3 linked regions of the Stegostoma tigrinum genome follow. The protein of the gene in region 1 purifies or fractionates together with the protein of each later gene. This does not show direct contact. Links are inferred from orthologs where the notes say so. Each region holds a gene or a part of one and is shown on either strand. Other genes may lie near its edges.

Region 1 (7,837 bases):
AAGTAGTGTTTCCAACAGTTTTATTTTTGCCCTATCTCATGTGTGATCCCTTTCCTTGTGTGATCAACACTGACTGTTTATTAACTATTTTACTGAATTTATGTTTGGAAAGTACTGTAAAGAAAAAATCACATTAAAATGATACATTTCAGGACAGCCATATTTGTTAGCAAGTTTTGAGAAGATTTGTAGCTCAGGTTGAGGTTCTGGATGTAAGTTTGCTTGCTGAGCTGGAAGGCTCGTTTTCAGACGTTTCGTCACCATTCTAGGTAACATCATCAGTGAGCCTCCGGTAAAGCGCTGGTGTTATGTCCCGCTTTCTATTTATCAGCGAGCAAACCCACATCCAGAGCCATATTTGTGTTCAGGACACCCCAAAGTGCTTTACAGCCACCAAAATTTTCTACAATGTGGATACCATTGTATTGCAGTGAATGTAGCAAGCAATCTCAATATACAACAAAGTTCCACCGACAGCAACTTCACAATCACTGGTTAATGTGTTTTTATAATTTTCGGTAAGGCAATATCATTGGCCTGGATATTGAGAACCTCCCTGCTCGTCTTCAACTGGTGGCTTGGGAAATTTTATGACCATCTGAGAGGTGAGACAAGGCATTGGTTTCATTTCTTTTAGTGTAACTATAGCAGTTCTGATAGCGCAGCACTCATTTTGTACTGGATTGGAAGTGTCATCCAAAACTACTTGCTCAAGTATCAAAAGGCGAACATGAAGTTTTGGCCTTCTGTCTCAGATGCTGGACTATTTTTCCTCCAATTTTCACCCTAGAATTTCTCATCTAATTTTGTTGTATTGCCTCTACATTTTCTGTATTTGGGTTGGTTTTATTTTAAATTATTATCCCAATAATTTTCTTTCTTCTCTTCATTTATCCACATTTTCTGCCTGTTGAGCAATGTCTGATCTGTATTGGAGTCATCTGCCTTTTGTACATTTCCTGGTGTACTTTACACCCTGCCCATTCTTCTACCAATTTATCTAGTTTAATTCCATTCTATTCTCATTAATATTGGCTTTTGCCTCAGTTAAACATTTTGATCGTTGGCCGCTCCTTCATCTGTCCAACTTTCAATTCAAGCTTGTATTTTCAATTGGCTCTTACCTACATGTATCCTTACCCTCATCTTACCAAATTGTTTCACTTCAACTTGTTAGTTTGTTTGTGTGTTTGTTTAATTACAACAAAAAGAGAAAATGTCGTAACTGCACACAGGAAATTTAGCATTTATGAATAACTAAGACTTGGCTGATACTGAGGCTAAATGACCTGCTGTGTATTTCTAACACTTTTTATTTTTAGCTTACATTTTCAGCTTTTACAATTTCCTTTCCTCTAGCAAAAATAAAGATAGAAAACATAAGAATATTCAACAATGTATAAACTTCAGGTCTATGATTGTTCATCAAAACAACTTATTCAATTTAACCTGCTACAAACTCAGTTTCACAAATTCTGAATTGTTAAAGAAAGAAAAAAGCTGCCTCTATGTAATATCGTCAGGACCACAGGAGCTCTCAAAATGCTTTAAAGCCAATAGTGGTATGCTATTCAAAAAGGGTGATAGGGATAAACTAGGAAACATCAGGCCAGCATGTGGAACTATTTGAAAACATTCTGAGGGACAGAATTAATCTCCACTCGGAGAGTCTAGGTTTGCCCATACAGCTTTGTCAAGGTAAGATAATGTGTAACAAATTTAATTACATTTTTTGAGGAATTGACTAGGTGTGTAGATGAGAGTAGTGCCATTGATATAGCCTACATAGACTTCAATAACTCTTTTGACAAGCTCTCGCATGGCAGACAAATTAAGAAGCTAAATATCCATGGGATCCGGGGCAATTTGACAAATTGGATCCAAAATTGGCTTAGTTGCTGGAAGCAATGTTTATAAGGCCAGTAAGTTCATAAATGACACAAAATGATATGGTAAATACCAAGGAGCAAAGCTTTAGTCTGCAGGTTAACATACACAGCTCATCAGATGAGCTGAACAGTGACAAAAAGAATTTAGTCCTGAAAAGTGAGATGATGCATTTTGAGACAAATAACAAGGTGACAGAGTACAGGTTTAACCCTCAGAAGTACAGAGCATCAGAGACACCATTAGAGTATCTGTACCTGGATCCTTGAAAGCAATAGGGCAGTAGATAAATATGGATAAGGCATATGGATTTTAGCCTTTGTTTTGAGGCATTATGTACAAGAGCGAGGAGGTCATGATGGAGGTGTGTAAAACATTAATTAGATCACAACTGGAGTGCTATGCGCAGATCTGTGTGCTGCATGAGAGGAACGATCTCATTGCACATGGTGCAGAGAAGATTCACTTGGACGTTGCCTGGGCTGGAGTGATTCAGCTATAAAGAGAGACTAGATAGGCTGAGGTTGTTTTAATTTGAGCAGAGAAGGCTAATGGGAGACATAGTAGAGGTGTTACAAAGTTATGAGGGGCATAGATAGGAAGAAACTTCTCCCATTGGTAGAGGGGCTAATAAACAAAGAACTTAGAAACAAGGTATAGGGCAGGAGGTTCAGAGGGGTTTGGAATTTATTTTCACATCTAGAGCAAACACCTAAAATAGTGGTATAGGAGGGAATTCTCGCAACTTTTGAGAAACATTTGGATGAGCAATTAAAATACTTCAATATAAAAGGCTATGGGCCAAGTGCTGAAAAATGGGATTGGATAGGTGTTTAAAATTTTTGAGAAGATTTGTTGCTTGGGTTTTAGTTCAGGTTGTAGACATGTTTGCCAAGCCAGTGGGTTTGGCTGCAGATGTTTCATCATCCTGCTAGGTAACATTGTCAGTCCATTTCTGGTTAAGCATTGATGTTCTGTTCCACTTGTTATTTATATGCCTCAGTTTGTTGGGTAGTTTGGTACCACTTCTGGTCTGTTTCTCATTGGTTTGTACATCGCATCTAATTCAGTGCATTTGTTATGGGAGTTCCCGTTAGAATACCAGGTCTCCAGGAATTCCCTGGCGCATCACTGTTTAGCTTGTGACATTATGGATGTGTTGTCCCTTGTTGTCAATGTGTAGTGAGACAAGTGAGAAATGGTTGTGTCTATTGGTGGCTAGTTGGTGTTTTTGTATCTGTATTGTCAGTTTTCTTCTGATTTGACCTGGGTTGTGTTTCTCACAGTCCTTGCATGGTATTTTGTATATTACACCAGTTTTGGGTATGGGATCCTTTATGTTTGTAAGTAGCTGTCATCGAGTGGTTGTTGGTTTGTGGACTACTTCGATACCTAGGGGTCTGAGTAATCTTGTGGTCATCTCTGAAACCTCATTGATGTGCAGTAGGGTGACTAGTGAGTCTGGTTGTGTTGTGTCTTCCTGTTGCAGTCTGTTGGTGGATTGTGCTTTTTGAGTATCCAATCCTTTTGAAGACTCTGTATAGATGCTCCTGTTCTGCTTTGTGTAGATCGGGGTTGCTGCAATGTGTTGTATGAAACAGTATCCTGACGCAGCTTTGTTTATGGGTGTTGATATAATTGAGTATCTGGTGCAAATGGGTGGTCTTTCTGTAAACGCAGGTCTGGAGTTCCCCTTTGTGTTTGCGTTCTACCTTTATGTCACTTTACCGATGATAGACAATAGACTTCTGAGATTAAATTGTTCTTTTATTGGCTAACCCAACATTTCACTTTTTGACTCTACACGTCTGGCGACTGACCCTCCATTGGATACAGAAAGATCCTGCCTTTCCCTCCGGAGGTACGAGGGCCTGAGAAAGGACGGCACAGATTTACAGACAATGGGAACTGCAGATGCTGGAAAATCCGAGATAACAAAGTGTGGAGCTGGATGAACACAGCAGGCCAAGCAACATCAGAGGACCACCTATCATGCTGCTTGGCATGTTGTGTTCACCCAGCTCCACACTTCGTTATCAGAGATAATGGGAACTGCACATGCTGGAGAATCCAAGATAACAAAGTGTTCCACAAAAATCACCATGAAGGGTCTAGGCCCGAAACGTCAGCTTTTGTGCTCCTGAGATGCTGCTTGGCCTGCTGTGTTCATCCAGCTCCACACTTTGTTATCGTGGGTTCTCCAGCATCCGCAACTCCCATTATCTCTCTCCACACTGTTATCCGGGCGCAGATTTGCTCATGCGCATTGCGGCTCAGAACCCGACGGCCTGCGCCGTTGCCAGTAGAGGACACGCCCACCATCGAGGACCAGAATGCACATGCGCGATAATAAAATGTGAGGCTGGATGAACACAGCAGGCCAAGCAGCATCTCAGGAGCACAAAAGCTGACGTCTGTCCCGGCACATGCGCGAAACTGGATATCCAGCGCAGGCGCAAAGCTGGTCGGCTTTAAATCAAAAAGCGCAGTTGTGCGGGGAGGTTGAGGCCCTGGGAGGCAGAAGAAGGGTTCGGACGGCGTGACGTCAGCAGCACTAGCGGCTCGCTTGAAGCTGTCGGCGCATGCGTAGATAGGGTCTATGGAGGGGTGGAAATTGATTAAGGATGGGGGCGGGTCCTCAATAGAGGTGGTAAAATCGGAAGTAGCTGGGAAAATTCAGTAGGGCTGGCATCATCTGTGAAGAGAAAGTAATTTTAATGTTTCGGGTCCGATTACCCTTCTTCAGAACTGAAGCCTTGACTCCACAGGTGCTGCCAGACCTGCAGAGTTTATCCAGCACTTTCTGATTTCCAGCACCGCACTGCTTTAGTTTTCCCTTTGGAGTGGAGTGGGGCTCTGAGGAGGACGGGCTAGAGGGATTCAGAATGGGGTCGAGAAAGTTGGGCGGGGTCTAGGGAGGTTGAGAAAAGGTCGAAGTTTGGTGCGGCGGACGCGCATGCGCCGGTAGCAGTGGGTGAGGCAGAGACAGCGGCCAACCGTCAGTGGGTTTGTTTGTGACAGCAGCGGCTTTATAACATCATCATCATCATCATCATCGTCATCAGCAGCAGCTCGATTCAGTCGAGGTCATGGAACGCGCAGAGCGGTTTAAATTTTAACGGCCGGCCCCGCGCGCGCGCGCCGCCGAGCGGCCAGAGGAAGTCCAGGGCCGGTGGACTGACCAAGTACCGGGGCGGCGTCACCGCCACCGCGGTCGTGGTCGTAGCCGCCGGCGTGGAGGCCGAGGGGACGGACGAAGGGTTTTGGGCCCCAGCCATGGACGAACACCCGGGAGCCGGGGTGTTCTTCGGCAATAACTCAGTGCTGAGCGGAGGAGGAGGCGGCCCGGGTATCGGGAGCAGGAACCTGCAGCCGGCGCAGCAACCGGGGCCCGAGGGGGAAGCTCAGAGGCCGCAGTACAACATTCCGGGGATCCTGCACTTCCTGCAGCACGAGTGGGCCCGCTTCGAAATAGAGAGGACGCAGTGGGAGGTGGACAGGGCCGAGTTGCAGGTAAATAACGCACCCCTCGGCCAGGCCGCGCTTCATGCTTGGATACTCGATTGCTGACCACCTCTCCCTGATCAACGGGGTAAGGGGGTGGTGGATACGTTAAGATGGCCGCCTGTCAAAGGAAGGAAGGAGGATAGTGTTGCTTTTTCTTCAAAGACCCTCAACTTTGCAGCTCTTCCCCAGTGACGATGACAGTTTAAATCAGAGGAGCTTTGCAACGACATTCCAAAAATGCCTTCAGTAATATTCTTAAACGGAATTGGGCAAGTTACTTGCAGGGGAAAGTTTGTAGGACCTTTGAAGAAAGAGCAAGTGGTCGGTATCGTTTTGAGTTCTTTCAAAGAGCCAGGACAGGCGCGATGGGTCGAGTAGACTTCTCGGTGCAGCCTGATTGTATGGAATGCTCCAGAAGAAATATGATCAGTTAATTGGCCAGGATTGTCAGTAGTTAAAGGGAGCAAACTTAAAATAGACAAGAGCACCAGAGGGACGAAGAATTTTTTTCTTGAGACAGCCATTTATGATCTAAATGCACCCTCTGAAAGGGGAGGAAGAACAGATTTAGTAGTAGTGGCAGTCAGATAAATACTGGGAGAATGGGGAGATTGCAGAGATATGGCTGAAGACCAGCGGAGTAGAAATAACTAGATAGTTTTGTCAAAGAATTGGAAGTGGAATGATCTGTGTGTTGGGACAACTGCACGGTTAAACAATCATGCACTTTTTGCTCCATCCACTAGCCTTTACCCTCACCAGTCCTGGTGATCCAGCCTGTATGAATTGATCGACATTAACTTGATTCAGCTAGACTGTTGGTTCGTTCTTGAGCAGTTCTGAAGGGCCTTGATTTAAATTGGTTGTACTGGAACAAGATTCAGTATTCTGAATTGAAGGGAGTCACCTTTGGCCTCATTAGAGATTTAAACATCCATGATTTAGCAATTTCTGCCCAGTGTTTTCTGTTGTTATCTATCAATGAATCATTGTAACCAAAGGTTACACAATGACATTCCAAAAGAAACACAGCTGTCCTGAATAGTATAATGTTCTTGGTATAGTCTAAAGGATTCCCCACAACGTAACAGGACAAAAATTGGAGTTTTTGATCATTATACATCAACCAGAGCACCACCTTTTAAAATTATAGTAATTTACACGCCTTGGTCAAGATCTGTGTGACATTCCTGAATTTGGTGTGTCTAATGGCATATCATCATGCCTAACATTATTGTTCAAGACTGCATTTCAACAACTTACATTGTGTCTTGAGTGTAACTTTTTTTAATGTTTAACAGTTGTTAGGAGAAATTGACAAAATTGCAGAAAGGCTTGACAGCATGTTGAAAAGAATTAGACAATGTCTTTTCTCCATTATTATAATAGAATAAACCCAAAGTTGAGATCGTTATGGGATGTGTACCTTGTGAGCTGTCTACCATTTACGTATTATCAAGGAGTAACCATGGGATACTGTTCATGCAGCTGGTTCCATTAATATTTCTGTTGCATTGTTTTAGGAATCTGCAGGATATGAAACACTCCCAGCTTTTTTATTTATACAAATAATGTAAAACCAAAAGGGAAGCTGAGACTTCAGTGTACCCTCTTATACTTGAAATATAATTTACTAAGCTGAATGTTCTGTGGCCGTGGCACTTCAGCATTCATAACCTTTAGCCTACGAAATCTGAATTCTTGAATTATCTATCAACTCAGTATGTGGAAGTATTTCTTCTGAAAGCTACCACTTTCAGTACCTTTAACATATCCCCACTGCTTTCCTGTTGCTGATTTCCCCCTTGAGTTTCTCTGACTTGTTATTGAAGCTAAGATTTTTTAAACAATTACCTATTGAAATGTCGGTAAAGTGCTTACTACAGCAACTAAAGCTACATGAACTTATATAGAACCTTTTAAACATTTTAAGGTGATTTGCAGGAGCAAATACCCTCATGGGGATATTGGGGTAGATGGCAACAAGCTTGGTTAAAGAAGGAGCATCTTAATGGAGGAGAGAGAGGTACTGTACTTTAGGGAAGGAATTCCAGAGGTTTAGGACCTCTGAGATATACCATGGGCCACAGTTTTGAATTACTGCACATTTTTAAATAGGGTAAAAAGTGGAGCTAGGATTGTAATATGTTGGCAAAATATAGAAGTAACATGAAGGTTTCAACAGAACGTGAGTTCAATTAGGCGATGCTAGAGTTGGAAATAAACAATTGTATTGATGGTATGGCTATGTAATTGGAATCTCATCTTGGTTAAAATGACAGGTTTACGTGTTCCCTGGTTCAGACTCTGGCAGCTGTGGGGGAAAAGAATGGAGTTTTTGGTGGGAGCAGAAACACCATGCTGCTTCCAATAAATTATAAATTTCAATCTTATGGTAACTTTTTACAAGGTGCTAATGAGACCCTAGCTGGTATACTGAGGG
Region 2 (7,310 bases), on another chromosome or scaffold:
AAGGACATGATAGGTGTGCAAAGGGATGTCACAGGGTACAGGAGGATGTGACGGGTGAGATTGTCAAGGAGATCAAGGGTTATGGGGAGAATGGGTTGAGAAACTTATCAGCCATGATGGAATGATGGAGCAAACTCGATAGGCTAAATGGCATAACTTCTACTCCAATGTCGTATAGTCTAAAAGGGGTGTCACAGGGTACAGATGGACATAGTGAATGGAGCAAAGGGTGTCAACAGTCTAAGGGTACAAGATAAGCCTTTTAGAACTGAGATTAAATGGCTTTACTACCACACAAAGCAGTTGAGGCCAAAACATCAACTGTTTTCACAGAGGAGTTAGATGCAATTGACAGGGATAAAGGGACCAAAGAGTATGGGGAGAAAGCGTGAACAGAGCATTCAGTTAGACATTCAGCTATCAGAGATAATGGGAACTGCAGATGCTGGAGAATCCAAGATAACAAAGTGTGGAGCTGGATGAACACAGCAGGCCAAGCAGCATCTTAGGAGCACAAAAGCTGACGTTTCGGGCCTAGACCCTTCATCAGAAAAGGGGGAGGGGGAGAGGGTTCTGAAATAAATAGGGAGAGAGGGGGAGGTGGATCAAAGATGGATAGAGGAGAAGATAGGTGGAGAGGAGACAGACAAGTTGAAGGGGCGGGGATGGACCATTTACAGGTGAGTGCAGGTGGGGAGGTAGGGAGGGGATAGGCCAGCCCAGGAGGATTGATAGGTCAAGGGGGCGGATGATGGAGGTGCGGCTTGAGGTGGGAGGAGGGGATAGGTGAGAGGAAGAACAGGTTAGGGAGGTGGGGATGAGCTGGACTGGTTTTGGGATACAGTAGGGGGAGGAGAGATTTTGAAACTTGTGCTATCCACATTGATACCATTGGGCTGCAGGGTTCCCAAGCGGAATATGAGTTGCTGTTCCTGCAACCTTTGGGTGGCATCATTGTGGCACTGCAGGAGGCCCAGGATGGACATGTTGTCTAAGGAATGGGAGGTGGAGTTGAAATGGTTCGCGACTGGGAGGTGCAGTTGTTTATTGCGAACCGAGCGTAGGTGTTCTGCAAAGCGGTCCCCAAACCTCTGCTTGGTTTCCCCGATGTAGAGGAAGCCATAACGGGTACAGTGGATGCAGTATACCACATTAGCAGATATGTAAGTGAACATCTGCTTGATGTGGAAAGCCATCTTGGGGCCTGGGATGTGGTTGAGGGAGAAGGTGTGGGGGCAGGTGTAGCACTTTCTGCCTTTGCAGCGAATGTGCTGGGTGTGGAGGGGTGGGAGGGGAGTGTGGAAGGGCCAAGGGAGTCAAAGAGAGAGTGGTCCCTCTGGAAAGCAGACAAGGGTGGGGATGGAAAAATGTCTTTGGAGGTGGGGTCAGATTGCAGATGGTGGAAGTGTTGGAGGATGATGTGTTGGATCAGGAGGCTGGTGGGGTGGTATGCGAGGATGAAGGGGATTTTATTTTGGCGTTATTGCGGGGGCAGGGTGTGAGGGATGAGCTGCAGGAAATGTGGGAGACACGTTCGAGGGTGTTCTCAACCATTGTGGGGGATAAGTTGTGGTCCTTCAAGAACAAGGACATCTGAGATGTACGGGAGGGGAATGCCTCATCCTGGGACCAGATGCAGCAGAGGCGAAGGAATTGGGAATAGGGGATGGAATTTTTGCAGGAAAGTGGGTGGGAGGAGGTGTATTCTAGGTAGCTGTGGGAGTCGGTGGGCTTGAAATGGGTATCAGTTTCTCGGTAGTTGCTGGAGATGGAGACAGACAGGTCCAGGAAGGCGAGGGATGTGTTGGAGATGGTCCAGGGGAACTTGAGGTTGGGATGGAAGGTGCTGGTGAAGTGGATGAACTGTTTCAGTTCCTCATGGGAGCACGAGGCGGCCCAGTACAGTCATCAATGCAATGGAGGAAGAGGTGGGGTTTGGGGCCAGTGTAGGTGCAGAAGAGGGATTGTTCCACATAACCTCCAAAGAGGCAGGCACAGCTTGTGCCCATATGGGTACCCATGGCCACTGCTTTTGCCTGTAGGAAGTGGGAGGGATCAACAGAGAAGTTGTTGAGGGTGAAGCGGATGAGGGTTTCGGTGGAGAGGGACTGGCTGAGCCTGTGGGACAGGAAGAAGCGGAGGGCCTTTAGGCCATCTGCATGGGGAATGCAGGTGTATAAGGACTGGGCGTCCATGGTGAAAATGAGGTGTTGGGGAACAGAGAATTGGAAGTTCTGGTGGAGGTGGAGGGCGTGGGTGGTGTCACGGACGTAGGTAGGGAGTTCCTGGGCCAAGGAGCAGAAAATGGAGTCCACTTAAGTGGAGGTGAGTTTGGTGCGGCAGGTACAGGCGGAGACAATAGGTCGACCAGGGCAGGCGGGTTTGTGGAATTTGCGAAGGAGACGGAAGCGAGCGGTGTGGGGTTGGGGTACAATGAGTTGGAGGCTATGTATAGGAGGTCACCTGAGGTGATGAGGTTGTGGATGGTTTGGGAGATGACGATTTGGTGCTCAGGGGTGGGGTCATGATCCAGGGAGCGGTAGGAGGAGGTGTCAGAGAGCTGGCATCTGGCCTCAACTTGTCTATCTCCTCTCCACCTATTTTCTCCTTTATCCATCTTCGATCCACCTCCCCACTCCCTATTTATTTCAGAACCCTCTCCCCCTCCCCCTTTTCTGATGAAGTGTCTACGCCCGAAATGTCAGCCTTTGTGCTCCTAGGATGCTGTGTTCATCCAGCCCCACACTTTGTTATCTTAGACATCCAGCTATGCCTACAATGAATGGCTGACTCCGTGTTTCCGTACATCACGTGGCATCGAAGGGGAAATCGTGCTTGACTAATCTTCTGGAATTTTTTGAGGATGTATCTATGAAGATGGACAAGGGAGAACCAGTGGATGTAGTGTACCTGGACTTTCAGAAAGCCTTTGATAAAATCCCACATAGGAGATTGGTGAACAAAATTAGGGCACATGGTATTGGGGGCAAAATACTGAGTTGGATTGAAAATTGGATGGCTGACAGGAAGCAAAGAGTAGTGATAAACGGGTCCCTTTTGGAATGGCAGGCAGTGACCAGTGGGGTACCACAAGGTTCGGTACTGGGACCGCAGCTGTTTACGACATATATTAATGATATAGACGAAGGCATTAAAAGTAATATTAGCAAATTTGCTGATGACACAAAACTGGGTGGCAATGTGAAATGTGAGGAGGATGTTATTAGAATACAGGGTGACTTGGACAGACTAGGTGAGTGGACGGATGCATGGCAGATGCAGTTTAATGTGGATAAATGTGTGGTTATCCACTTTGGTGGCAAGAACAGGAAGGCAGATTACTATCTCAATGGAGTCAAGTTAGGTAAAGGGGAAGCACAACGAGATCTGGGTGTTCTTGTACATCAGTCAGCGAAAGCAAGCATGCAGGTACAGCAGGCAGTGAAGAAAGCTAATGGCATGCTGGCCTTCATAACAAGAGGAATTGAGTATAGGAGCAAAGAGGTCCTTCTGCAGCTGTACAGGGCCCTGGTGAGACCGCACCTGGAGTATTGTGTGCAGTTTTGGTCTCCAAGTTTAAGGATATTCTTGCTATTGAGGGAGTGCAGTGTAGGTTCACGAGGTCAATTCCCAGAATGGCGGGACTATTGTATGTTGCAAGATTGGAGCGACTGGGCTTGTACACACTTGAGTTTAGAAGGATGAGGGGGGATCTGATTGAGACATATAAGGTTATTAAGGGATTGGACACTGTGGAGGCAGGAAGCATGTTTCCGCTGATGGGTGAGTCCAGAACGAGAGGACACAGTTTAAAAATAAGGGGTAGGCCATTTAGAACTGAGTTGAGGAAAAACTTCTTCACTCAGAGCGTGGTGGATATATGGAATGCTGTGCCCAGAAGGCAGTGGAGGCCAACTCTCTGGACACTTTCAAGAAGGAGATGGATAGAGCTCTTAAAGATAGTGGAATCAAGGGTTACTGGGATAAGGCAGGACCAGGATACTGATTGTGGATGATCGGCCATAATCATAATGAATGGTGGTGCTGGCTCGATAGGGCCGAATGGCCTACTACAGCACCTATTGTCTATTGTCTGTCTGCAAGGGGCCGAACGTGCCACACCACGTGGTACATAAGGGGCGTGACAAATAAAGGCAACTGTCTTCGCTCGCGCACCCATTCAAACGGGCTTCCAACCGCCGCCCGACCTCGCGGGCGCGCTTCGCCTCCTCAGTCACGCGCCGCGGGAACGTGAATTACGTCGGTGCGTGCGTGCGCGCGCGATTTTGCGGACACGCGCGCCGCTTTTTCTCCCTCTCACTCTCACAGTGACGGACGGCGCCGAGCTTCTCAGGGGTTCCGAACCCATGTAACTTATTTATGATCAAAATTTTAACCTCCCGATTCCCCCTCCCACCCAAGACTTTTTATTTAAATTTTCCTTTTCACCTCAACACCCTGTCTGATAATTTTTAAAAAAAAAACCGTTCCCGATAGTTATGGATAATAAGGCGTTCACCAAGGAGCTGGACGATTGGATCGAGCAGCTGAACGAGTGCAAGCAACTCAACGAGAACCAAGTGCGGACCCTCTGCGAGAAGGTATGTGGGGAGCGCCAAGGCCAACAGTTTTATTCTCGATGCGATTTCAGACAGAATCCCCGCCTGGGTTTAAGCGACAGAGTCGGCCTTTCCGCCGCTGCCAAATAGTGAGACCAGTGGCTCGGCCGCTCTCCCCGGCTCGGCTCGGCTCCGCCCCACCCGCCTGACCGGGCGGAACTTCCGGTCCGGTGCCACTTCCGCTCAGGGGGCGGGTCCAAGGTGGAGCTTTATATGCCCTCAAAGCCCTCTTCATCGCCTCTTTCCCCCCCCCAACTCTCTCTTCATCCATATCCGCCCCTCCCTCCTTTCATCCCAGTCCCCGGACTTACTTGCCCCATTCCAGCTCCACCCCATCCTCCTCCTTTTTCATGTGTTCCAGCTGCCCTGACTCTTCTTGCAGGAAGTTGTAGACTTTGACATGTGATTGAATCTTACAGCCTGGATAAAGCCCCTTCAGCTCGATGTGCCCGCACTGTTTGCCAAGCATCTCCAGCACCTTTCCTGTCGTCTTGTATACATACCATGGCGTTTTAAACGCTCATCATTTACCTGATACAGAGGCATTGACTTAGTAGGAGCGCTTCAGTAGGTTTGGGCCTGTACTGGTTGGAATTTAGAAAAATGGGAGGCAATAGTTTTGAAGCATAAAAGATTCTTGGAAGACTTGACAGAGTAGATGTCGAAAGGTTGTTTCCCCTTGTGGTAGGGTTAAAGGGATTGATCTTAAAAGAAATCGTCACACATTTAAAGTGGGTTGAGGAGGAATTTCTTCTATGCAGTTAAGTAAGAATCTTGGCATTCTTTACCACAAAGACCTATTGAGACTGAGTTAGGTTTATTCAATGCTGAGACAGATTTTTAATTTATGAGTAAAAGGTGGGAAAGTGGAGACAATGATTCACATAAACCTGATCTGATTGAATGGAGGCGGAGACATGATGGTTTGAATATGTTTCTTCTGCTTTGTCATGAGGTCGGTTAGCTCAGTTGGCAGACTGGATTGTGGCAAAGTGTGACATCAGTGCTACGTCCAATTTTCATGTCACCTGAGGTTATGATGGACTCTCGTTCTCAGTCTCTTTGCTTGTCTGAGGCATGATGGCCTCTAATAAGGTGCTCTACTAAGACTGTGTAATGTCAAGAGTTCTCTACCACTCTTGTGACTTTTTCATCCCCCTTCTCCCAATACAAGTGCAACAGGCCTTGAATTTATGAATATTCTATCAAATGCAGTCAAAAAAGGTGTAATTTTTAAAGATCTGACAGATGTAGGAATCTTTCCTGTACTTATGAGTGGCTAGTTTTATATTTCCTGCATTGCGTTCTGACATGCATACAAATCAAACTGAGTGGACTCCACGTGGAACTTTTTTGCAACTGGGGTCTGCCTGTATTTAGACACAGTCTCAGTATGCCTCAATCTCTTTATTATTCCACACAGCAGCATCTCTTGCTTCTTTGCCACACTGTCGCAGCCTCTCCCATGGTCAGTTTTAACCATGCCATAAAGTATTTTGCTGTAAAATGACAGCAGACATAAAGCAGGACTAGGCCATTCAGCCCTTCATCCTGCTTTGGCATGCAAAAAGTCTTTCTTCATTCTATCTCCCTGCCTGCACTGTGAAACTGTTAACTCCCTTGTTTATCGAAAATCTAACTTAATCTTGAATAATTTCACTCCACTCTTTGAAGAGAATTTACAGACTAACAACCCATCACTTTAGACTGATACCTACATAGAACATAGAACCTAACAGCACAGCACAGTACAGGCCCTTTGGCCCTCGATGTTGTGCCGACCTGTCATACCGATCTGAAGCCCATCTAACCTACACTATTCCATGAACGTCCATATGCTTGTCCAATGATGACTTAAATGTACTTAAAGTTGGCAAATCTGCTACCATTGCAGGCAAGGTGTTCCATTCCCTTACCACTCTGAGTAAAGAAACTATTTCTGACATCTGTCCTATATCTTTCACACCTCAATTTAAAGCTATGCCCCCTCGTGCTCGCCGTCACTATCCTAGGAAAAAGGCTCTCCCTATCCACCCTATCTAACCCTCTGATTATTTTATATGTTTCAATTAAGTCACCTCTCAACCTTCTTCTCTCTAACGAAAAAAGCCTCCAGTCCCTCAGCTTTTCCTCATAAGACCTTCCCACCATACCAGGCAACATCCTAGTAAATCTCCTCTGCACCCTTTCCAAAGCTTCCACGTCCTTTTTATAATGCGGTGACCAGAACTGTACGCAATACTCCAAGTGTGGCCACACCAGAGTTTTGTACAGCTGCAGCATGACCGCTTGGTTCTGGAACTCGATCCCTCTATGAATAAAAACTAAAACACTGTATGCCTTCTTAACAGCCCTGTCAACCTGGGTGGCAACTTTCAAGGATCTGTGTACATGGACACCGAGATCTCTCTGCTCATCTACACTACCAAGAATCTTACCATTAGCCCAGTACTTTGCCCTCCAGTTACTCCTACCAAAGTGCATCACCTCACACTTGTCTGCATTAAACTCCATTTGCCACCTCTCAGCCCAGCTCTGCAGCTTATCTATGTCTCTCAGCAACCTACAGCATCCTTCGTCACTATTACCTTAATTAGATTAAATCATAATTTGCTGTTTCAGTCACGGTTTTAAAAACAAAAGGGTCCCAAGAACAGTTTTGCTCATGAGGAAAACATTAGAATGTCTCTC
Region 3 (6,977 bases), on another chromosome or scaffold:
TTTTGTGCTCCTGAGATGCTGCTTGGCCTGCTGTGTTCATCCAGCCTCACATTTTATTATCTTGGAATCTCCAGCATCTGCAGTTCCCATTATCTCTGATACTATGGAAATTCAGCATGTTTGCAATAACTCTTACCAATTTTGATAGGTGCACCATAGAAGAAATTCCATCTGGATACATAACAGCTTGGTATGGCAACCGCTCTACCCAAAACAACGCAAAATGACAGAAACAAAGTTGCTGGAAAAGCTCAGCAGGTCTGGCAGCATCAGTGAAGGAGGAAACAGGGTTAACATTTTGAGTCCAATGATTCTTCCTCAGAACTGATGGTGGCTGGAAAAACGTCAGTTTATAGGCAAAAAGTAGGGAGGGAGGTGGGTGGGGTGGGGAGTAAATGATAGAACAGAGCCCAAAGAGAGAGAAAGACAGTTGGACAGACAAAGGAGTTGCTAATGATCAGGTGGGAAGGTGAATAGTTGTTAATGGGGACTCTTAATGACTAACAACAGGGGGTGTGTAATGGCAGGCTATGTAGTAACAAGGGTTGGTGTGTGGTAGGAAGCTGGAACATGGGAGAGTTTAGGTCCTAAAATTATTAAACTCAATATTTGGTCTGGAGGGCTGTAGGGTCCCCAAGCAGAAAATGTGGTGTTGTTCCTCCAGCTTGTGTTGGGCTTCACTGGAACACTGCAGCAAGCCAGAGACATAGATATTGGCCAGGGAGCAGGATGGTGCATTGAAGTGGCAGGCAACAGGTAGTTCAGGGTCTTTTTTGCGAGCAGAATGTAGGTGTTCGGTGAAGCGGTCACCAAGTTTACACTTCATTTCCCCAATGTAGAAGAGCCCACATTGTGAGCAGCGTATGCAGTAGACTAGACTCTGGGAAGTGCGGGTGGGAAGGTATGTTTGGGCTCTTGGATACTGGAGAAAGAGGTGGTAAATCGGCAGTTGTTGCACCTTTGTCGGTTACAGGGGAAGGCACTGTAGGGCTGTGGGAAGGTGTCGGGGGTGAAGAAAATGTGGACCAGGGTGTCCCGGAGGGAACGGTCCCTGCGGAAGGCGGACAAGGGAGGGGAGGGGAGGGGAATATGTGCCTGGAGGTAGCATCTTGCTGGAGTTCGGGGAAATGGCATCTGATGATCTACTGATGTGGATGCTGGTGGGATGGTAGGTGAGGATAAGGGGAACCCTATCGCTGTTGCGATAGAATTTGTGAATGCAGTCCAATCCATCCCAAAAACCAGCCTTCCTTCCACTGACTCCGTATACGTTTCCCTCCGCTTTGGGAAACCAGCCAACATAATCAAATACCCCTCCTAACCCAGTTTTACTCTCTTCCACCCTCTTCCATCAGGCAAAAGATACAAAATTTAAGAATAGCTTCTTCCCCACCATCATCAGACTCATAAACGAACCTCTCATATATTAGAGTTGATCTTTCTGTGGATCTTTTCTGCAGCTGTTACACTATATTTTGCATTCTGTTCTCTAACCCTGATATACTAATATAATGTATGATTTGTCTGGTTAGCATGCAAAGCAATACTTAGATTCTGAGGAAGGGTCACTGGACCTAAAACATTATCTCTGTTTTTTCCTTCACAGATGCTGCCAGATCAGCTGAGTTTTTCCAGCAACTTTGTTAATTGCTCCACTTTTCACTGTATCTTGGTACATGTGACAATAGTAAAGTCAAATCAAAAGTTTGCTGACTGAGGAGGGGACAGTTGAGGAGGTTGGTCTTATACCCATCGCGCTGTGATCTTATCTGGAACATACAATTTTCTGCGGTAACACAGTGTGGGACTGGAGCAGCACAGCAGTCCAGGCAGCTTCAGAGGAGCAGAAATGTTGATGTTCTGGGTCAGGGCTCTTCTTCAGAGAAATTTTCTGGGGTTCTTGATAGGATAAACGTGGAAAAGTAGTTTGTCGTCATGGGACGGTCTAGGATCAGAGGGTATAAAAAGGGGTTGCACAGAGATGGGGAGGAATAGCTTCCTTTAGGCAGGAGTGAACCTGTCAAATTCTTTACCACAGAAGGCCGTGGATCGATAAGAATATTCAATATTGAGATGGACGGATTTTTAATCTGTAAGGGAATCAAGTGTTATGGGGAAAAGGTAGGAAAATGGCGTTGAACATGACCAACTCAGCCACAGAGTCATCCATCATCCAAACACACCCTTGGGTCCAACACGGTGTCCCCTGCCCCTAAGCTCCGCCCTTTCCAGTCTGGGTCAGGGCTCTTCTTCAGAGAAATTTTCTGGGGTCCTTGATAGGATAAATGTGGAAAAGTTGTTTGTCGTAGAGGGTATAAAAAGGGATTGCACAGAGATGGGGAGGACCCCACCGACTCCCACAGCTACCTAGAATACACCTCCTCCCACCCACCCTCCTGCAAAAATTCCATCCCCTATTCCCAATTCCTCCGCCTCCGCTGCATCTGCTCCCACAATAAGACATTCCACTCCCGCACATCCCAGATGTCCAACTTCTTCAAGGACCGCAACTTTCCCCCCAACAGTGATCGAGAACACCCTTGACCACATCTCCCGTATTTCCCGCAACACATCCCTCACACCCCGCCCCAACCACAACCACCCAAAGAGGATCCCCCTCGTTCTCACACACCACCCCACCAACCTCCGGATACAACGCATCATTCTCCGACACTTCCACCATCTACAAACCAATCCCACCACCCAAGACATTTTTCCATCCCCACCCCTGCCTGCTTTCCGGAGAGACCACTCTCTCCGTGACTCCCTTGTTCGCTCCACACCGCCCTCCAACCCCATCACACCCGGCACCTTCCCCTGCAACCGCAGGAAATGCTACACTTGCCACCACACTTCCTCCCTCACCCCTATCCCAGGCCCCAAGATGACTTTCCATATTAAGCAGAGGTTCACCTGCACATCTGCCAATGTGGTATACTGTATCCATTGTACCCGGTGTGGCTTCCTCTACATTGGGGAAACCAAGCAGAGGCTTGGGGACCGCTTTGCAGAACATCTCCGCTCGGTTCGCAACAAACAACTGCACCTCCCAGTCGCAATCCATTTCCACACCCTCTCCCATTCTTTAGATGACATGTCCATCATGGGCCTCCTGCACTGCCACAATGATGCCACCCGAAGGTTGCAGGAACAGCAACTCATATTCCGCCTGGGAACCCTGCAGCCCAATGATATCAATGTGGACTTCACCAGTTTCAAAATCTCCCCTTCCCCCACCGCATCCCAAAACCAGTCCAACCTGTCTCTGCCTCCCTAACCGGTTCTTCCTCTCACCCATCCCTTCCTCCCACCCCAAACCGCACCCCCCGCTACCCACTAACCTCATCCCACCTCCTTGACCTGTCCGTCTTCCCTAGACTGACCTATCCCCTCCCCACCCCCCCATACTCTCTCCACCTATCTTCTTTTCTCTCCATCTTCGGTCCGCCTCCCCCTATTTATTCCAGTTCCCTCCCCCCATCCCCCTAATCCCCCCCTATCCCCCCATCCCCCCCTATCCCCCCCTATCCCCCCATCCCCCCCTATCCCCCCCTATCCCCCCATCCCCCCATCCCCCCCTATCCCCCCATCCCCCCATCCCCCCCTATCCCCCCATCCCCCCATCCCCCCCTCTGATGAAGGGTCCAGGCCCGAAACGTCATCTTTTGTGCTCCTGAGATGCTGCCTGGCCTGCTGTGTTCATCCAGCCTCACATTTTATTACCCAGCCCCAAAGGCGTTCCCTGCATAATCCCCGCCCACTGAGACGCATGCGCTCATCCCCTCCGCCCACCAACGTGGCTCCACCTCTTACACCGCTCTCGTCCCTGCCAGTCAGCCCATCCGTCACCCACCATTGGCCTACCTCCTGGATCTATTCCCGCCCCTTCCCCTTCTCTCCCGCAAGCGGTTCCAACCGTCCCGCACGAGGAGCCGGGTGCAGTCAAACTCACCCAACAGCCTCGGACGGAACGGAAGCCCCGCCTTTTCTTTCCTGCGATTGGAGGGTCGCGGCGATACCGGGGTGGTGATTGGCTAAGGGTGACCGTCAATCCTGCGTGTCGGCTAGCGGGACGGAGCAGCAGGTTTGGTTGCGGGGCCTATCGTGAGGCAGCAGAAGGTTCCAGAAAAAGAGACAGAAAGAAAGATTGAAAAATGTTGGGACGGCAAGTGTTGGTTTTAAGTGAGTGGCTCAAATCAGATCGTGATTATTCATTTGGTGCCTTTATGAATTTCTGTTAATAAACTCCGTTATTGCCATCCGTTTTAATTAAAAAAAATCTCCTCTTCCCCAGGTCAGAATGTGAAACGGGAGTCCGGCCGTAAAGTCCAACAGGGCAATATTAACGCAGCGAAGGTGAGGAGGAGGCCTGGAGCTCGGGCACACGGACTACTCGAGCGCCGAGGCTGCAGCCCGGGCCTAGGCCTCTCCTCCACCGGGTGAACGGTGGTGGGAGAGTCGGGCGGAACACGGCAGCTAGGAGCCTTTTACTGGGGTCTCGATGTGTTTGACGAGGCTCAGGACCTTTTATTGGGTCCGTATGGGGCTTAGGACCCTTTTATTGGCTCTTGATGGGGCTCAGGTGCAACTTCTTTGGGTCTGAAAGGGCTTAGGACCCTGTTATTGGCTCTTGATGGAGCTCATAGGCCTTTTTATTTGGTCCAAATGGAAATCTGGAGTATTTTATTGGGGCCCCAGAACCTATTATTGGCGGTTTCTTAGGGATCATGGTCCCTTTGTATTGTATCTCAATAGGATCTCAGGATTTCTCTGGATTTAAATGGGGCTCTGGGGGTTTTATTATTGATCTATCGGGATCTGCAGTCCATAGAACATAACAGCACAGTACAGGCCCTTCGGCCCTCTGTGCCGACCTGTCATACCAAATTGAAGCCCATCTAACCCACACTATTCCATGTACGTCCATTTTATTCTTGATCCAAATTGTGCTCTGGATTGTTTTGAGTTTAGCTGGTTGCTTGGGATGATTTCCTTGTGAGACTCAATGGGGGTGGGGAGGGTCAGGATTTTTTTTTCTGGGCCTCTGTGGTGGTCAAGGCCATTTGTGGAGTTGCCATGGGACTTGAGATCTTTTGTGCGGCCCAAAAAAAAGGGCCTTGGGACACTGGTGTCAGCATATAGCCCTAAATTGTGAGCTGGAGGGATGTTCTCGATTACATCAGAGATAAAGGGTCTAGGCCTGAAACATCAGCTTTTCTGCCTGCTGTGTTCATCCAGTTCTACACTGTGTTCTCAATTGCTTTGGTTTTCATCCCCCTGCCTTTAAGTAGACAGGTCAGTGACATCCAGAAAGCACCAAGTCAGCCTGAAATAGCAAGAACTGCAGGAACTGGTGTCAAAGAAAGCAGTGTGGAGCTGGAGGAATACAGCAGGCCAGGCGGCATCAGAGGAGCAGAAAAGTTGACGTTTCGGGTAGGGACCTTTCTTTAGAACATGAGAAAGGGTACTGACCCGAAATGTCAACTTTCCTACTGATCTGCTGTCTGGCCTGTTGTGTCCCTCCGGCTCCGCAGAGTGTTATCACCAAGTCAGCCTGAGGTTGTTTTCCTAGTAAAACCCAAGTAAAGGATCTCCAAAAATATTGCTCAGTACTAGTCAACAGCCCTGTTATTGGCACCTGATGTTTTTATGGTTATATTTTTCAGACAATTGCGGACGTTATTCGAACATGTTTGGGACCAAGGGCAATGATGAAGGTACAGAAATTAACGTTGGCGTGTTAGACTGGTGTTTTGCAGCAACCTACCAAGATGACACCATGTTGGGTTAATTATAAATGGACTGGGTGGGACTTGGAGTCGTGTGTGAAGCGATTGATATTGACTGATGTTATGCAAATATGCTGACAGCCACAGCTGCAGCTCCAGTCTTTAAAGAGTAATGGGATAATTTAAGTTGAAGGGGGAAGATTTAGAATCATATGGCATGGAAACAGATCCTTTGGTCCAGCTAGTCCACGCCTACCATGTTCCCTAACTGAACTAGGCCCACCGGCCTCCGCTTTGCCCATATCCCTCTAAACTTTTCCTGTTCACGAACTTAAACAAATGTCTTTTAAATGTAACTGTGCCCCCACACGCTACTTTCTTTGGCAGTTTATTCCACACATGAACCACTCTGCTTAAAATAAAGTTGCCTCACATGTCCTTTAATAAATTTTTCTCCTCCTCGCTTTAAAAATATCCCCCCAGACCTGCATTTGAAGTTAAACAGCAGGAGCTCATTAGTGTAGTATTGAAATTAATGTGATGTAATTTACCCCCCACCCCCAACAGATGTTGCTGGATCCCATGGGTGGCATTGTCATGACGAACGACGGGAATGCCATTTTGCGAGAGGTAGGTGTGGTTTCACCTGTACGAGCATTAGGAATCTGTTCGAGTGTGCGGCTTCTCATTCTCCTTCACTCAAAATACCTTGACATAAGTGTGTTTGGCATAAGTGACAGCTTTGTAGTTACTAAGATTATATCTCTATTTCGCTGATTTGTTTAATTTGAACTTCTGGCTTTGGAGCCATGGCATGCTGAGTCAAGATCTGTTTGTATCATCAACTCGTGCCATGCAGATGTAGGAGAGCATTGATTTAAAACTGTCGACCTGTCTGTGAAACTCCCATTAGATGAACCTATGTAATCTAGTTCAGATTTGTGAAGAGGTTTTAATAGACGTGATTAATCGGTCCTACTGGTGGTCTGGTGATCTGAGATCATTTTCAGTAAAGTCAAGATAGTCTGGAGAATGTTTTGACGCACCTAGTTACTGCGATTTGGAACTGTCTGAAAGGGTATTAGAAACACCTTTCAATAGAAAGTTCCAACAGGGAGAATCAAATAAATACTTGAAAAGAATCGCAGTGTTGTTGGGGAGGATGTAGGACAAGTTGGATAGAATTTTCAGTGAGTTGGCACAGGCACGGTGGACTGAATGGCCTTGTGTGCCATGATGGTAGTGAAG

The links. Proteins that work in one complex are often made in the same cells at the same time.
Region 2: the proteins of strn (region 1) and ppp2cb purify together in Homo sapiens (affinity purification with mass spectrometry; 5 studies listed by BioGRID and IntAct, counting the BioPlex papers as one, with this or other methods). This does not show direct contact. The link is inferred for Stegostoma tigrinum from reciprocal best matches to the Homo sapiens genes STRN and PPP2CB.
Region 3: the proteins of strn (region 1) and cct3 purify together in Homo sapiens (affinity purification with mass spectrometry; 3 studies listed by BioGRID and IntAct, with this or other methods). This does not show direct contact. The link is inferred for Stegostoma tigrinum from reciprocal best matches to the Homo sapiens genes STRN and CCT3.

Annotation. Positions count from the first base shown.
Region 1 is NC_081357.1:94,950,806-94,958,642, reverse strand, and holds the start of strn (striatin), read left to right. Parts: upstream 1-4,816; 5' UTR 4,817-5,163; coding exon 5,164-5,400; intron 5,401-7,837. UniProt on the Homo sapiens protein: Calmodulin-binding scaffolding protein which is the center of the striatin-interacting phosphatase and kinase (STRIPAK) complexes.
Region 2 is NC_081354.1:12,436,505-12,443,814, reverse strand, and holds the start of ppp2cb (serine/threonine-protein phosphatase 2A catalytic subunit beta isoform), read left to right. Parts: upstream 1-4,292; 5' UTR 4,293-4,499; coding exon 4,500-4,601; intron 4,602-7,310.
Region 3 is NC_081400.1:3,835,907-3,842,883, reverse strand, and holds the start of cct3 (T-complex protein 1 subunit gamma), read left to right. Parts: upstream 1-3,959; 5' UTR 3,960-4,154; coding exon 4,155-4,182; intron 4,183-4,294; coding exon 4,295-4,356; intron 4,357-5,666; coding exon 5,667-5,717; intron 5,718-6,296; coding exon 6,297-6,359; intron 6,360-6,977. UniProt on the Homo sapiens protein: Component of the chaperonin-containing T-complex (TRiC), a molecular chaperone complex that assists the folding of actin, tubulin and other proteins upon ATP hydrolysis.